Rattus norvegicus: one gene and its partners. Each later gene encodes a partner of the first gene's protein in a complex. Links are inferred from orthologs where the notes say so. Each region holds a gene or a part of one and is shown on either strand. Other genes may lie near its edges. The genes, in order: Gnat1, Unc119, Pde6g and Rho.

Region 1 (4,324 bases):
CTTGGGACCCTAGCACCCACCCCCTTGTAGTCTGTCACAGAGTTGAGTCTGGTTTCAGGAAAGGGGTTCTAGACCAGCAGAGGGAGCCCAAGATAAGGTTTCCAACTTTAGAGTCACAAACCGACTTTAGCACCTAGCTGCTCAGCACAGCAGACTCCAGACTTCAACTGCTACCCCTGACCCCTGAGTAAAGGCTGTCAGGTTATAGTGGCACCCTATGTAGCCCCCACATTATGAGTGAGACCCCACTCTTCCGTACTCTGGGGTGCTCCAAGTCTGCAATAGACTTGCCAAAAATACACTGAATCTAGCCACCTCTATAGTGGTCTTTGTTGCACCTAAATGCACATGCACACCCAGACATGTGCATGGGCTGGCACAGACAAGCATGTATGCACACGTAGGGACACAGGTGTGCATCTAAATACTTAGGCAAGTGCACTGTAGTGCGAACACCATAGTTGCCTGTATTTGAACGCTCAGGCACACGTGCACAGCTGTGAATCCACACAAAGCACAGCACAGTGAACACACAAACACCGGTGCCTACACAGAGAAATGCACAAGATGCTGGAGATGCAGCCTGGCAGTGAAGCACATGTGTAGCACGCAGGAATCCCTAGATTTGACCTTCAGCGTGTACACACACAGGGCACCAGTTTACATGCACACATTGCATGCATAGCCATGCAAACAGGTATGTAAGGGCACGTGCACTTAAAAAGCTACTAACAGGTACACATACATGCAGATAACAGGTACACATACATGCAGGTAACAGGTTCACATACATGCGGAATACAGGCCCCAGTGTGTCTACTCATTACTTCGCTTGATCCTAGTAAGGAACGGAAAGACACACACAGGCCTGTATGTGTAGCAGACTCACCCATCCACCAGCAGAGGACATGTTAGAAGGGTCACATTTAACCCTGAGCGTGAGGCAAACAGAAAGTCACCTATTCCCTCCTGGCTCCTGGGAGGCACAGAACCCTCTGATCTGGAGACACCCCACTCTTCTAAGCCACTGCCAATTATGTGACCCTGTCAGCTGCTCCTAATCAGTAAAATGGGGCTGTGATTTGGGCACCACCTTCCTCCAAGTTCATGTAAGCCTACAGCATAAGGAGTGGTGACCTCAGCTGGGCAAGCAGGAGGTCCTCTGGGCCAGCTTCTCCAGTCTCCTGCCAGCCCTGCTCCCAGTCCCACCACTTCTGTGCTAAAGGGTCTGTTCCCTCAATTCCACCAAATAAATGCATATAGGACGGGGGAAGGACTCTCTAGGATCTCTTCTGGAGAACTGGAGGGGGGTAAAGGGGTGCCAAGTCAGCAGTTGATGGATTGGGGCCTTGCCAGACTGATTAAAAGGCTAGGAGACTGAGCTTCACCTGTCCTTGTCTCTGATTGGCCCTCAGGCAACCCTAACTCTCAAATCCCACTGAGCAATCCCACCAGGGCCTGTGCAGGTCTGTGGAAGCGCCAGTTGACTGCTGGCTTTGGGGCCAGAAGGTTGTCTGAGGAGGCCAGAGGCTGCCTACCCTGTCCCTTTGCCTGCTGCTGGGACCATGGGGGCTGGGGCCAGCGCTGAGGAGAAGCACTCCAGAGAGCTGGAAAAGAAGCTGAAAGAAGACGCTGAGAAGGACGCACGGACCGTGAAGCTGCTGCTTCTGGGTAGGGGTGCGGGCCAGTGTTAGAAGGGGACAGCTGTGGGTCAGCGGCCTGGGGCTGGACAAAGAGCCTTTCCTTAAAGCAGGGATTCCTTTGGGGAAGAATGACAGTGTGGTGGGGCAGAGAGCACAGAGCGAGCCATTCCCAGGCAAGGCCTGACAGGTGATGGATGTCCTAGTCCCCCAAGGCGATGTACTTGGGGCAACTTCCTTTTTTTTTTTCTTTTTTTTTTCTTTTTTTCTTTTTTTCGGAGCTGGGGACCGAACCCAGGGCCTTGTGCTTGCTAGGCAAGCGCTCTACCGCTGAGCTAAATCCCCAACCCCACTTGGGGCAACTTCTTGAGGACACCCTGAAGTGTATACCAAACACACCGTTGTATAAATGTGTGTCTTCAGACACATTTTTGCCCTTGAGCTATAGCCTATGGTTTTCCAGGCCTGCTCAGCTCTTCTTTCTCCCTTGGGAATGAGGTCTGAGAATAACTCTTGGATCACCAGGTCCACAAAGGCACTGGGTGCCAGAGCGTGGTCATCGGTAGACCCGTGAAACAGCTTTAAAAAGTGGAACGATGCCAGGCAGTGGTGGTCTATGCCTTCAGTCCCAGCACTGGGAGGCAGAAACAAGTGAATCTCTGAGTCTGAGGCTAGCTTGGAGTTCCAGAACAGCCATGCCTACACAAAAGAAAAAAAGAACGTGGAAAAATAGTGAAGCCTACATGGGATAAATAAAGCTGATCCCATGATCCCATGGATATTGAGGGGAGATGGGGGGACTGCCATTGCTTAATTCAACAGAAAGTCACTGTTTCAGAAGGACAGGCAGAGGTACTAAGCCAGAGCCCTAGGAGAAAGGCCACGGCTAAGCCGGAAATCCCATTAATTGTATCCAGCACCCTTAAGGAGCTGCAGGCTCAGGAAGGATGTCAGTTCTGTCCTCTCCCCCACCTAAGGATGCTAATTCCCTCTGAGCCTCTCAGAGACACCTCCCTAGGAAAAGCAGAGGCTGCCGGTCCCATTCAGATAATCTTGTGCATGCAGTACTGACCAACTCCACAAGGTGGCACTAGAGGGTTCCTTATTTTGGTCTCAACATAATTAAGACTTTATACATCAGAGTCTTGGGAAACCTCCTTCCCTCTGGGCACAGTTGAGGTCACTCAACAGATGTAGGTCCCCTTTGTCACCTACAACCATTTTCTTCAGCGGTCTTAAAGGCTTTACTTTGACTAGAGATGAGGGCAATTGTATCTAGAGATCTAGTTGGCACCCTAAGGCTCTGATCCAAAAGAAGTGGTGGTTAGTGCGGCTCTGAAGCACCACCTCTTTCCTTTCAGGTGCGGGTGAATCCGGGAAAAGCACTATTGTCAAGCAGATGAAGTGAGTGTTCCCTGTCCATCCTAAGGCCCCTGGTGGTGGGCGGGTACATGCACATTAGAACCTGTCCTTTCCTACCGACCCTGGAGACTGACTTTGCTGGTCTTGGCTGTAGGATTATCCACCAGGACGGGTATTCGCTGGAAGAATGCCTCGAGTTCATCGCCATCATCTATGGCAACACTCTGCAGTCCATCCTGGCCATCGTGAGGGCTATGACCACGCTCAACATTCAGTATGGAGATTCGGCTCGGCAGGTGAGGCTGGAGGCAGGCTGATGTTAGGCTTCGAGGGCTCGTGGCAACTGGCTAGGCTCAGATTCACAACCACTACCTTGCCCTACCCCCAGGACGATGCCCGGAAGCTGATGCACATGGCGGATACTATTGAGGAAGGCACAATGCCCAAGGAGATGTCAGACATCATTCAGCGCCTGTGGAAGGACTCCGGTATCCAAGCTTGCTTTGACCGAGCCTCAGAATACCAACTCAATGACTCTGCTGGCTAGTGAGTACACCAGTGGATGCCAGGGGGCAGAGGGGGTGGGTGGGCAGGACCCTGCTGGTGTGAACACCCACGCCACTCACCCACTCATACTGGGTGGTCTTCTTCAGCTACCTTTCAGACCTAGAGCGTCTGGTGACTCCAGGATACGTGCCCACTGAGCAGGATGTGTTGCGTTCTCGTGTCAAAACCACTGGTATTATCGAGACTCAATTTTCCTTCAAGGACCTCAACTTCAGGTAAGACCCCTGCTCTAAGAGCTCAGCTGGCCTGACCGGAACTTCACTGTCTTGAGTGAAGGTCCTACCTTTGCCAGGAGAAAGGCCGGCCATTTCAGATGCCAAGTGGTATGAGGGCTCTCCAGCCAGCTTAGGATGACAAAAGGGTAACAGTGGGCATATCCAGGTGACCTGATACACCGGTCTAAATCTGGACCTGGCTATGCCTGACAGAATGTTCGATGTGGGCGGGCAGCGTTCTGAGCGCAAAAAGTGGATCCACTGCTTTGAGGGTGTGACGTGCATCATTTTCATCGCTGCGCTGAGCGCTTACGACATGGTGCTGGTGGAGGACGACGAAGTGGTGAGTTGGGCCTGAATGTTTGAGAAGGGAGGTGGAGCCTGGGGGAGCCAGTGAGACTCACGAAAACAGAAGTTGTCTGGGAGCGGTTAGTGTCGGGAGGTCAGGGACCAAGGGACAGCAGCGACCTGTGTAGCCTGGTGCCCAACAGCCGCTCCCCTCCCCAGAACCGAATGCACGAGAGCCTGCACCTGTTCAAC
Region 2 (4,080 bases), on another chromosome or scaffold:
GGCCCTGAGCCAACCTCAGGAATAAAGTGCTCTCTGGTTTAGAGAAAAGAACACAGAAAGGATGCGGTGGGCACAGCAGGTGCCACAGGGATGAGGCAAGGAGAGTCCTGGGCTCAGAAGGAAGCCAGGAGAGCTAAGCGTTGCCTAAGGGAGTTAGTTCATGGTCTAACCCTTACCACTCTTTTGTCACCGTTTTTTTTTTAAGCCAGGGTTCCATGTCGCCTAGCTAACCTCAAACTCACTACTCGGCAGATGCTGGCCTTGAACTCCCGGTCTTCCTGCTTCATAAAACTTACACCAAGTCCTAGGGGGAGGCCCTGGCAAGAAGTAGGAAGGTACAGAAGAAGGCTGTGGAGGCTTGGGTGCTGCCAGCCTCCACTGTGTACCACATCCTCCCCGCTGACCTTCAGAGGCCCGGAAGTCACCCTCCAGGCCCCTGGGCCACCCCCTATTCCTCTGTGGTTGAAAAAGGAAGTGAATATAAAGCCATTTTCTCTTCCTTAGGCCTGTCTCCTCCTCAAGCCAGGGGGGGAGCCCCCTCCAGGAAGCCCTCCTGACAGCGCCTCTAGCACCTTGGAGCTGAGGTCTGAGATAAAGCTATAAAAAGACGCTGCAGAGCAAAAGGAGAAGAGGGGGCAGAATTGGAAGCAGGATCCTAGTCGTCCAACTCCCAGGAAAAGCTGCCTTTCTCACTGCAGGCCCAGCCTAGGACCCTCTCCTCTCACCCGGAACAACCTCTCACACTCAGTCTCTTACACTGCAAACTCAACTTGTGGGACTCTCTGTCCTTACAAGGAGCGAGGATCAGGGGCTGCCTAGGAAGGCAGCCACTTCCTCTCCTCAGCCAAGAAAAACCAGGCCCAGGACCCAAGGTCAGGCCAGAGTAGTTGAGCAGCGGTGGCTCAGAACCCACCTGGTCTCTTCCTTGAAGCCACAAATAGCTTCCTAAGCTGGATTCAGGGCCTGGTAATCCAGGAACAGCAAACCTCAGACCTATGTGATTAGGGTCACAAGATGGCAGGCAAGGTGGAGGAGAGGCTTGGAACCCTGTTTTCAAATGCTGCACAGCACAGGGCTCTCAAGAGGCACTTGTCTTTGCTCATCCTCTGTAGGCTATGAATTCCCTCCAGGTTGGGAGACACTGTGACTTCACCTGGAAGCTTCCTTCGTTGCAAAATAAGCCTCCAGTTATCCAGGACTGGGACAAGTGAGCCTGCCCTCCACCCACAGGGCTAAGCTAAGCTAAGCTGTAAGGGCTGCTATTACAAAATGCAGCCCACTGGCTTCAACATCAGCCTGGTCGAGGCCCCTCCCTCCCTCCCTCCACTGATGCCTGCTTGGCCAAGGGAGCAAGTGCTCTGGAGGTCTAGCCAAGAATGCTGCTGCCTAGCCCTGGAAGGAGGAGGGAGGCCCCCAGGGACCCAGATGTACAGGCCTGTCATCCTGGTCCCCTCCACAGCTATCTGGGAGCCCTGGCCTCTGTTGCTCCTGGGGCTAGAGAGGGTTTACTTCCACACTAGCACCCATGTCCATCCCATTAGAAAGGGAACACAAACGGAGCCAGAGCAGGTTGCCGGTGACCCATCCATTCCAAGGCAACGTGTCACTGTCTCTTCAAATACCTTCCATTCTTCAAGGCTCAGCCAACCTCTCGCCAGAAGACTCTCTAGTTGTTCACTGTGGTAATGCCTGCCTTTGCCCTGAATGCTCACTTATCTGCCTGCAGGCAGCCACTCTGAACAGTCCTGTGTGGCTTCCAACGCTGCTGATAAAGGAGCTGACAGCATGCATAGCATGCCAAGCATTGTCCAAAATCAGAAGACTGGCTCTATTTTCATAATAACCTTGAGGGAGGTAACATTGTTCGTGTTCCCATTTTACAGATGAAAAGGAAACATGCTCCTGCAAATGAAATTGCATCCCCAAGGTCACACAGCCAATTACAGGGCAAACTCTGGGACTCTGAAAACTCAGCTCTAGTGGAGACTAGGCTTCCCTTGATGAGAGAGCCCCAGAAAAAGAACAAGTCCTGGCTTGGGGGGCACACACTTGTTTCCATGACACGGCCCACAGCTAACATAGGGAAGCACACTCTCTGATCAATAACGTTCCTGGGCAGAGTATGGCCTCAGCCCTCATTGGGGAAACAGGGCAATAACGGTCAGGGAGCCTGTGGGTTTTCCTTGCCTCCACCTAGCCTGAGGTGGCCACTTTAGACAGACTGCAACGAGGCACACTCCTCTGTGCGAGCAGCCTCAAAGGGTTCCGAAGACTCCACAGGGGAAAGGGTTACAGATGCAGCTGCTGCCCCACCTCCACCATGGGAAAAGGGGTGGGCCCCTTGAAAAAGAAGGAGTGGGGTGAAAAGAAGCCACTACAAGGAGAGTAGGGGCGCAAGGGAAAGAGCGTGGAGATTTCAGACTTGGAGGCAGGGAGAGAGAGAGAGAGTAAGGGGACACAGAGGAGGGGCATTGCGTGGGGGAGGGGTGGGGGCCGGACTCTGAGCCTCGTGGGCCCCCTCCCGCGCTCTCCCTCCAGCCCGCGGGTGGCGCTCCCTCGCCGGTGCTCACCGCCGGTGATCCGCTGCAGCCCCAGCACGTCCTCCGGCCCGATGGGCTGCTTGCCCTGCAGCGGCCCCAGTCTGGGCCCCGGGCCTGGCTCCGGCTCCGACTCGGACCCGGACTCGGCTTCCGCCCCAGGCTCCCGCGTGGGCTCCACGCTCCGGTTCGAGGCCCCAGGAACGGGCTCCGCCCCCGGTCCGGTCCCGCCGCCGCCCTTCTTCACCTTCATGGCCTCGCGGGGCCGCAGATCCTCGCCCGCTGCCACCGCCGCCGCTGCTTGCGCCGGCTGGAGCCAGGGGAAGGGGGAGCGTCCGCCGCCCCACCCCCGGCCGGGCCCCAGGTGCCGTCCCGCCTTGGTCACGCCCACAGGAGGCGGGTCACACATGCCCCGCCCACCGTCTGGCTTTTCCAGCGGTGGAGCCAGAATCCTGGGGGTCCTTGTGAACTTTTTGACAATGTAGATACGGAATACCTCTCCTCTTTCTCTCTGGGTTCCAGCCGCAAGGTCTTTCCCTGATAGCGTTACCCTGCCTTCAGCCCAAGTCTTAACCTCCCACCCCCACCCAGTTCTAAAGTACTTCCCCTCAATTTCCAGCTAACCAGCCTGTTTTTGGTTTTCTTGTTTGTTTGTTTGTTTGTTTGTTTGTTTGTTTTGGGGTAATGCATTAAATGAAATTATTTGTTTGTTCCCTGACCCTTCCTACACTCTGTTCCTCATAACACCCAGCACTAGCACACTGCTTCTTGTAGCCAGTCCCCAGTACTTTCCTCCGTTGAACTGAGTTACTATCCCAGGGCTGTCACTGGCTCAAGCTACTCCCCACTAGAACTCTGGCTAAATAGCTGATTCTGGCACCCAATAGGCAGGCACCATAGCCCAGGTGTCGAGCCATCCAGGCTGCTCAGGACAGTGAGGCAGGAAGAACATAGCCAGGTCGGGCATGGGGGACCTGTGAGCTAGAGCAGAACCGTCTGCTTCTCACACAAGGACGAGTCATACATCAACTCATATTCAACCAATGTTTATTGATGGCCTAATGTATATTTCTAAAGAGCCCAATATACAGAACACTTTTACACACTTATTACATTTAATCCAACCCCCTTCTGAGGGTGACATCATAGTGCTTTCTCACAGAGGAAAACCTGAGGCTCAGTGAGGAGCAGCTTATCAAGCACTCTCCAGTCCGTTAAGTGCAGAAGCCGGAATCTGATTCAGGCCTGTTGGGTTCCAAGTCAGAAATGTTTTCTCCTGTTCCACACTACCTCTGAAACGGTAGAGGGGAACCTTAGCCACAGGCAGAAGAAGCAGGTCCTAAGCCACTGCCTCCTAAACCAGGCTGTCCCCAATGGTGACACCAATCAGGAAGCTGAGGAAGGAGGGAGACGGTCTCAGAAGTGGAGAGGATGGGGCTACAATTCAACCCAAGGATTCCCCTAAATTCACCTCTCTGCATAAGTATGCAGTGCTGACAGACTGGAAGGACAAGGTACTCCTGTCCAGAGGTTGGCAGGCAAA
Region 3 (4,355 bases), on another chromosome or scaffold:
GCACACATATACCCTAGGAGGGAGTCTGTTTCCCAGATCTGCCTGGCTGCAGCACCTGGAGTCAATGATAGGCCCTTGGTGCCCCCAGCACTCCTGAGGGCCCAGTCATAAGAATGAGGACACACTCAAAGAGCCCCACCCCAGCCTCCACCTTGTCCTCCCATACAGCCCGGGCAGTGTTCTCGTTCTGTGAGAGGCTGCAGCCCAAGAAGAGTGCTCTTTCTACGAGAGACTCCCTTCTGATGCTTGCTTACCCTTGCACGCCTTTCTTGGGGGGCTTGCTCTTGAACTGCCTTGTTTGCCGCTGCTTAAATTTAGGTGGTCCTTTCCTGGGGGTGACCGGCCCTCCCATCACCCGTGTGGCTGACCGAATCTCACTCTTGGGTGGCTCCAGGTTCATGATGAGGCCGGCAGAGACACTGCAGTGACCCTTAGCTTCTGGACTCTGTCAGGCTGGACTGGACTCCTCATGCAGGCTAGGGAAGACCAGACAGATCCCCGTTAGCTCCCTTGCTCACGCTAACAACTTTGGGAGCAGAGAGGGCTGACACCCAGGAGCTGTCCCGCTCCAGAGAACCACCTTCCCACCTCCACCAATCCTTCTTCACTCCTTCTGCCTGGTACCCTCAGACACCTCCCATTGCTAGCAGCCACATACAGCCCTTGCAGCTATCCCATACTCCAAATCCACATCAAGCCAACTTTTTGGCCCCTCCATATGTCCTAAACCCGGACATTTTACTACCCCCCACCCCTTGCAGGTAGTCACTGACCACCCTTGCTTGTTCCCCACCCCCTCCTACACACTGGAATCTGATCCAGCCTTGTCACTCTGTTGAAAGCCTTCTGAAGATGCCTGGGACTGATACAAAGGACATTCCCTCCTGATCCTGCCCTGTGCCTCACAGCCACTTGCCTTCCCTTCCGGGTGGTCAGCCACAGACTGCTCTCACTAGTTCCAGGACCTTTCTCAGGAAAGGAAGGCCTCCTCTACCTCATGTTGTTCTGTATTTATTTCTTCATGCCATATCCTGGCAAATTATCTATCTATCTATCTATCTATCTATCTATCTATCATCTATCTACTTACTACTTTCTTTTTTGTCTTTCTTTAAAGATTTATTTATTATATATATTATAACTATACTGTAGCTGTCTTCAGACACACCAGAAGAAGGCATCAGATCCCATTACAGATGGTTTTGAGCCACCATGTGGTTGCCGGGATTTGAACTCAGGACCTCTGAAAGAGTAGTTGGTGCTCTTTAACCTCTGAGCCATCATCTCTCCAGCCCCATCTATCTACTTTCTATCTGTCTGTCTGTCTGTCTATCTATCTATCTATCTATCTATCTATCTATCTATCTATCTATCTATCTACCTATCTACCTGAGGCAGGGTCTTTCTGTGTAGCCCTGGCTGTCCTGGAACTCTCTCGTAGACCAGGCTGGTCTCAAACTCAGAGATCCTGAGTGCTGGGAGTCAAGGCACTATTTACAGCCCCTGTAAGTACATTTGTTCATATTTATGTCCTTGTTGTGTTGGGCTTGTTGTCTATTTCTTGTGGTTGGACTTGGTGATGATAAAACCTCCACAAAATGGAACACAGAGCTGCCCTTGGGGCAGGGCTCTGCCTGTGAGCAACTGATGTGAGGACCTCTCATCTTCATGACTCTGAGACGGAATCGGGCCTCAAGGAGAGAGGTCACACAGGGATCCTCCTGGGCACAGAACGTGAGGCTGCTCACTGGATTGGGGCTTATTCTGGGTTGGGCGTCACCTCAGGGGCTGGTGTGGCTGAGCTGGCCTCTGACAGGATAGTCCCTCTTCTTCTCCCCAAACCGCTCCCCAGAAGCTCTAAGCCCCAGTGACCTTGGCCATTGACATCAGAGCTTTCTGTAATCCTATTAGTATCTGAAGGAGACTCCTAATCTCCCGGGGTTTCTAGCATAAACCTCATATGCTGCTGAATGTTCTGAGGCCATACAGGTGACCCAGACGGGGTTTCCCAAGGGACTACCTCTTTTTTTTTTTTTTTTTTTTTGGTTCTTTTTTTCGGAGCTGGGGACCGAACCCAGGGCCTTGCGCTTCCTAGGTAAGCGCTCTACCACTGAGCTAAATCCCCAGCCCCAAGGGACTGCCCTCAGTCTGATGAGGTATAGCATTGTCCAGTCTTAAGCCACTGGTTTTAGACCGTGGTTTGCTGGAGCATGAGGGCTGACAGAGAAGCATATATCTGTTGTAGACAACACCCCTCTCAGCCTAGTCACTCCCCTCTGTCATTCCTAGATTCGGCCTCTGTGCCTGAAGCCAGTACCAGCCTCGGAACAGGACTCAGGAACATAGGAGACCAGGCTGCTCAGTCCCTGGGGCACCCATCCTTACTTCCCAGTGGTAAAATACTTCTCCAAAGGCCTGGAACCCCTATGGGCAGCTGTTCCCTGACAGCTCCAGTGATCAGTGCTGTCTCCATGGAAACCGCGTTTGAGATGCCTAGCCGGGACTAACCTAAAGCTGGTGCCATTCAGTTGTACGGTCAGGTTGCCTTGATAACAGAGGAACTACCGTTTGGCACTGTGGAAAAGCAGAGCAGATGATCCATTGGTAGGATGTCCTTGCTAAAGGTCAAGGGAACAGGTCAGGCTCCTAAAAACTCAAGAGCTCAGCAGAGGTGGTAGACGCCTGTTAGCTTCCCCCAACCTAGGGTGAATGAGTTGATGCCTAGCAGTCAGAAAGGACACCAGGACAGGTTATACTCACCAAGCGTTGGACAGATCTCAGGGAGCCACAGGTGCCAGTCGTCTGGATCTGGATCAGCAGAGCACTGGCCTAGGAATTTATCCTTCTCCTGGTGAGCGGATTATGACTCTCTTCTCTGACATTACACTAATCAGATTGCTGGGCCCTGAGGGAGACACCACTGCCCAGGATGCTGGTGTTGGGCACAAGAGGTTCAGGCAGCCAGAGGTCTGAAGGAAGGACACTCAAGTCCGGTAGGTAGGGAAGAAAAGGAGAAATATGGCTTTCACTGGTTGTGAGGCTATGCCTCACATGTACATGGCCTCCAGAAACAGCTGGGCCACCTTCCAGACCGTCCTGCGCTGGGGTTATCCCTTGCTTTGTCCCACCCACTGAGGAATCCACTGATGGACTTCAATGCTCTGGGTAGCAGCCTCTATCCATGTTTTCCCCTTGCCTTTAAGCCCTGCCTCTTGGGTTTCAACTGCTGTGCATTTGATACTCTGGATTGCCCATTTCCTGTGCCTGTTCCTCTAGCTTCTTTCTCTGGGGCCTCTTGGGCTCTGCTGTAGTGTCTTAGGGTCACACCCGCAAGCAGGCTAAGACACCTATCAGATCAGCTTCTTCAAACTCATTCATACAAAGCTTCGATAGAATTGGGTTTTTGGTTTTGTTTTTTTTTCTATTTCTTTTTAAAGACATGGTCTTATGGTAAAAAAGAAAATGATGGTGCGACCGGTTCCTGCAAGTACCTGGGCGGTCGCCCTCTCCCTAGTTTGGATTCTGGCTGGCCATAGGAACTAGCGCTAATTTATCTCAGCAGCTCCATGCTGGCCCCCATGGTACTCTGTGAGCCGGGTGGATGGTCCAAAAGTTGTTCCAGCTGTTTTGCTTTCATTCACAGTTCCCTTGGCGAGTTGTTACCACGCCGGCATACACATCCCAATTCCGCTGTGGGTTCTGTGTGCCCTGCCACCGCACCTTCTCTTGAACCCAATTAAGTCGCCACATGAACTAACACACCACACAATAACCTCTGATCCAATTGATAAGATAGAATTTGCCCATCTAGACAGCATAAAATCCTGTACACACCCATCCCTTAAAAATATTCATTACAACCTGTATCTATGTGCAGAGAAGAATCTTAACATCGGCTGCCATGTTCTCCCAGCTCCTTCTTTTTTTTTTTTTTTTGGTTCTTTTTTCGGAGCTGGGGACCGAACCCAGGGCCTTGCGCTTCCTAGGCAAGCACTCTACCACTGAGATAAATCCCCAACCCCTGTCCCAGCTCCTTCTAAAACCTCTGTTCCCACCTCCCTTCCTTCTCATCCAATGACAGGCCTCATTTTATCTTGTCTGCCCTCACCTGCATAATTGTATCAACCTACAATGTAGTCCCAGGCTGGCCTCAAATCATAAGCTAAGGATGGTCTTGAACTCCTTGCCAACACAGCCAGCTCTGCAATATTCTTGTCTTAACCTTTGTCTTCTACACGGAAGTGGTATAGCAGGCATATTATACTGCTGGTGTCTTGGCCACCGTGGGGCGCTTTGCAGATGCTTGGTGATTAAATTGGGGATTAAATTGACAGAGGAAAGATAAGAAGCAGGCC
Region 4 (2,722 bases), on another chromosome or scaffold:
CTGTCATTCATCTCTGTGATCCAGCTCCATTTCTACACAGGCCTGAAGGTCTGGTTCATTTGTAAAAGCCTACTGAGGCTGGGGGAAATACCTTATCTGAGTGCTTAGGCCCTGCCCAACTCCCAAGCAGTCACTAATAAGCAGAGACCATTAAGATGGCTAATTAATTATATTAGTTGGTGTTACCTGTAACACAACTACCAGTTTTGCTCTTTATATACAAAGTGTTTGCACACACACATACACACACACTCACACACTCACACAATTTTCTCTGTGTGTCTCCCTTCCTTCCTCCTTCTTTCTCCTTCCCTTCATCTGTCTTTGAAGCAGCCACATTCTGTCAGGGCCCCGGATTTGGGAGATCCCATCTGGGGTGGGGGTGGGGTGCAGAGAAAACCAGGGCAGGTATGTAAAACAGTGTACAGATTCCAGTCAAACATGACTAGGTCTGCCAGGTTGGGCACCTGAGGACATCCATGTTCCCGTCTGTTAATCCCTTCACTCATATATCCACTCATTCAGTCACTCATTCCTCCCTTCATCCAGGTAGCATTTATTAATCAGCTACTATGTGTTCCATTCTGTCCTAGACACTTAGCCGTAAGCCGGGACACTTGTCATGTTCCTGAGACACAAGCTGAGGGGAGGGGTACAGATCCCGCTGGCCCCCGGGAATTGGGGACTCCAGGCTGGGGGTCTTGGTGGATGGATGTCCTTTGTCAGGCTGTCCCTGTTGAGTGGGGAGCCTCATTTTGCTTTCATGAATTCATTAAAAACAAAGAAAAGAACACTGAGGGAGCCTGCATGACCTCATTCCAACGGGTGCTGCTCCTGGTGGGGGCTGTGGCTGGGGTGAGTGGGGACAGGAGACTCCTACAGTCAGCCACAGTCTCTGGCCAGGCTTAGGCTGGAGCCACCTGGCTGGTCTCCGTCTTGGAGGCAGTGGCAGAGGCCTCATCATCTCCCAGTGGATTCTTGCCGCAGCAGAGCGTGGTGAGCATGCAGTTCCGGAACTGGAAGACAAGAGGCACCAGTCAGGACAGGGCCCTACCACTCCACTCCCTCAACCCCACCTCCAGCAAGTCCCCTCCCTAAGCCTGGCTCCCTGGGGGAGCGTGCTAAATGTATGTTGCCCTTCAACCAGAGATGCCAGGAACACAGCACGAGGGGGTTGTCAAATGACATCCCATGTGTCCTGTGGATGAGTAGGACCTTGTGATCTTATCTAATTTGAGAATTTGTGATTTGTGATTTATTTCCTATAAATAAACAGGGAAACTGAAGCCCAGATCTGACTTACCCAAGGTCACACAGCCTGCATGTGGCAAAACTAGAACTGGAACCCAGAGTCTAGGTCTAGAGACCACATCCTTTTCTGCAGGGAAACTGTGACTTTTAACAGCGGCTTAATCCCGTTCTTCCCAGAACTAGCAATTTCTACAGCTTTACAGTGAGACCATTCTATTCCCAGCCTTGGAACTACCTGACATTTCCTGGTTACTTCTTAAGACAGACTGTCATGTAGCCCAGGTTGGCCCCCAAATCACTGTATTGCCAAAGATAGCTTTGAATTTCTAATCTGCCCACTTCAGCATCCTGAGCACGGAGATACAGCAGTATGCTCACAGCCTGCTTTGGGCGAGGGGGACACACATCCACTATCTAGCCCAGGCTGACCTGGAGCTCAAGATCCTACTGCCTCAGGATTAAGATTACAAACATGGGCGATTGCACCTGGCTTCTAGCTGACTTCTAAAGCTGACTTCCAGAACCATCTGGTCAGGTGTATCTCACAGGACAGGATGGCAGGTCACCCAGAGGACTTACTCCATGAGACGGGGGGATCACCAGCCTGAGAGATCATGGCCTGACAGCAGTCTGAGTGGACCGCCTTCCCTGCCCTCCCCTCCCCTTCCATTCTCTCCCTCCCTCTCCACAAGCCCTGCCTCGACCCAGGCAGCACCTGCTTGTTCATCATGATGTAGATGATTGGGTTGTAGATGGAGGCGGTCTTAGCAAAGAAAGCGGGAAGGGTCATGAAGATGGGGCCGAAGTTGGAGCCCTGGTGGGTAAAGATGTACATGGCCACACTGGCATAGGGAAGCCAGCAGATCAGGAAGAAGATGACCATGATGATGACCATGCGCGTGACTTCCTTCTCTGCCTTCTGAGTGGTAGCCGACTCCTGTTGCTGGGCGGCGGCCTGCAGGGGGACAGACCTGTGTCTAGCCCGAGGGGTCCATGCAAACCCTGGCACCCACCCGGCTCTGGCCACCCAGCCCCAGGGTGGCCCCACTCATGCCTCCTTGACGGTGAAGACCAGCTGCCCGTAGCAGAAGAAGATGACGATCATGGGGATGGTGAAGTGGACCACGAACATGTAGATGACGAAGGACTCATTGTTGACCTCAGGCTTGAGTGTATAGTAGTCAATCCCACATGAACACTGCATGCCCTCGGGGATGTACCTAAGGGTGATAAAGCAGGGAGAAAACACATGCCCAGCCGGACATAAGTGTGGGGTTCCTGGAGGCTACAGTTTCTGTGGGCCTAGGGAAGCATGGTTATTACCTGCTGGCCCCATCGCCAGGTGAGACTTAGCTTCTCTGCCCTCAGACAACTCTCAAGCTCCCTGTCACTTAGTCACACAGCTCTCCTCTCCAGCCTGCTGCCCTTTGGTGGTTACATGAGTAGGCAGAGGATGCTGGGGAGGGGAGCT

The links.
Region 2: the proteins of Gnat1 (region 1) and Unc119 are in contact, whole or in part, in a crystal structure (PDB 3RBQ), measured with the Homo sapiens proteins. The link is inferred for Rattus norvegicus from reciprocal best matches to the Homo sapiens genes GNAT1 and UNC119. Residues at the interface, in NP_000163.2 of Homo sapiens: Gly2, Ala3, Gly4, Ala5, Ser6, Ala7, Glu8; in NP_005139.1 of Homo sapiens: Asp87, Phe88, Val89, Arg90, Phe91, Ile105, Lys106, Lys107, Gly126, Arg127, Phe128, Val129, Tyr131, Phe137, Val147, Glu163, Leu172, Ser218, Tyr220, Asn230.
Region 3: the proteins of Gnat1 (region 1) and Pde6g are in contact, whole or in part, in a cryo-EM structure (PDB 7JSN), measured with the Bos taurus proteins. The link is inferred for Rattus norvegicus from reciprocal best matches to the Homo sapiens genes GNAT1 and PDE6G. Residues at the interface, in NP_851365.1 of Bos taurus: Ser140, Arg201, Arg204, Lys205, Trp207, Ile208, Phe211, Asp227, Val229, Glu235, Val236, Asn237, His240, Glu241, His244, Leu245, Ser248, Ile249, Ile281, Phe283, Glu305, Leu306, Met308; in NP_776846.1 of Bos taurus: Arg36, Gln37, Phe38, Lys39, Ser40, Lys41, Pro42, Pro43, Lys45, Leu60, Val66, Ile67, Cys68, Pro69, Trp70, Glu71, Phe73, Asn74, His75, Leu76, Glu77, Leu78.
Region 4: the proteins of Gnat1 (region 1) and Rho are in contact, whole or in part, in a cryo-EM structure (PDB 6OYA), measured with the Bos taurus proteins. The link is inferred for Rattus norvegicus from reciprocal best matches to the Homo sapiens genes GNAT1 and RHO. Residues at the interface, in NP_851365.1 of Bos taurus: Ala27, Arg28, Asp189, Leu190, Val312, Glu314, Tyr316, Asp333, Ala334, Asp337, Ile340, Lys341, Asn343, Leu344, Lys345, Asp346, Cys347, Gly348, Leu349, Phe350; in NP_001014890.1 of Bos taurus: Leu72, Arg135, Val138, Val139, Lys141, Ser144, Asn145, Phe146, Arg147, Val230, Ala233, Gln236, Gln237, Ser240, Thr242, Thr243, Lys245, Ala246, Glu249, Val250, Met253, Met257, Asn310, Lys311, Gln312.

Annotation. Positions count from the first base shown.
Region 1 is NC_086026.1:117,231,493-117,235,816, reverse strand, and holds the start of Gnat1 (guanine nucleotide-binding protein G(t) subunit alpha-1), read left to right. Parts: upstream 1-1,505; 5' UTR 1,506-1,565; coding exon 1,566-1,671; exon of another isoform or gene 1,672-2,339; intron 2,340-3,001; coding exon 3,002-3,044; intron 3,045-3,156; coding exon 3,157-3,298; intron 3,299-3,390; coding exon 3,391-3,548; intron 3,549-3,553; exon of another isoform or gene 3,554-3,655; coding exon 3,656-3,784; exon of another isoform or gene 3,785-3,997; coding exon 3,998-4,127; exon of another isoform or gene 4,128-4,291; coding exon 4,292-4,324. UniProt on the Homo sapiens protein: Functions as a signal transducer for the rod photoreceptor RHO. Required for normal RHO-mediated light perception by the retina.
Region 2 is NC_086028.1:63,734,743-63,738,822, reverse strand, and holds the start of Unc119 (protein unc-119 homolog A), read right to left. Parts: upstream 2,825-4,080; 5' UTR 2,791-2,824; coding exon 2,571-2,790; intron 2,454-2,570; exon of another isoform or gene 1,630-2,453; coding exon of another isoform or gene 1,623-1,629; intron 1-1,622. UniProt on the Homo sapiens protein: Involved in synaptic functions in photoreceptor cells, the signal transduction in immune cells as a Src family kinase activator, endosome recycling, the uptake of bacteria and endocytosis, protein trafficking in sensory neurons and as lipid-binding chaperone with specificity for a diverse subset of myristoylated proteins.
Region 3 is NC_086028.1:106,221,696-106,226,050, forward strand, and holds the start of Pde6g (retinal rod rhodopsin-sensitive cGMP 3',5'-cyclic phosphodiesterase subunit gamma), read right to left. Parts: upstream 2,802-4,355; 5' UTR 2,761-2,801; intron 2,575-2,760; exon of another isoform or gene 2,509-2,574; intron 477-2,508; 5' UTR 401-476; coding exon 255-400; intron 1-254.
Region 4 is NC_086022.1:150,656,188-150,658,909, reverse strand, and holds the end of Rho (rhodopsin), read right to left. Parts: intron 2,472-2,722; coding exon 2,306-2,471; intron 2,207-2,305; coding exon 1,967-2,206; intron 1,017-1,966; coding exon 906-1,016; 3' UTR 543-905; downstream 1-542. UniProt on the Homo sapiens protein: Photoreceptor required for image-forming vision at low light intensity. Required for photoreceptor cell viability after birth.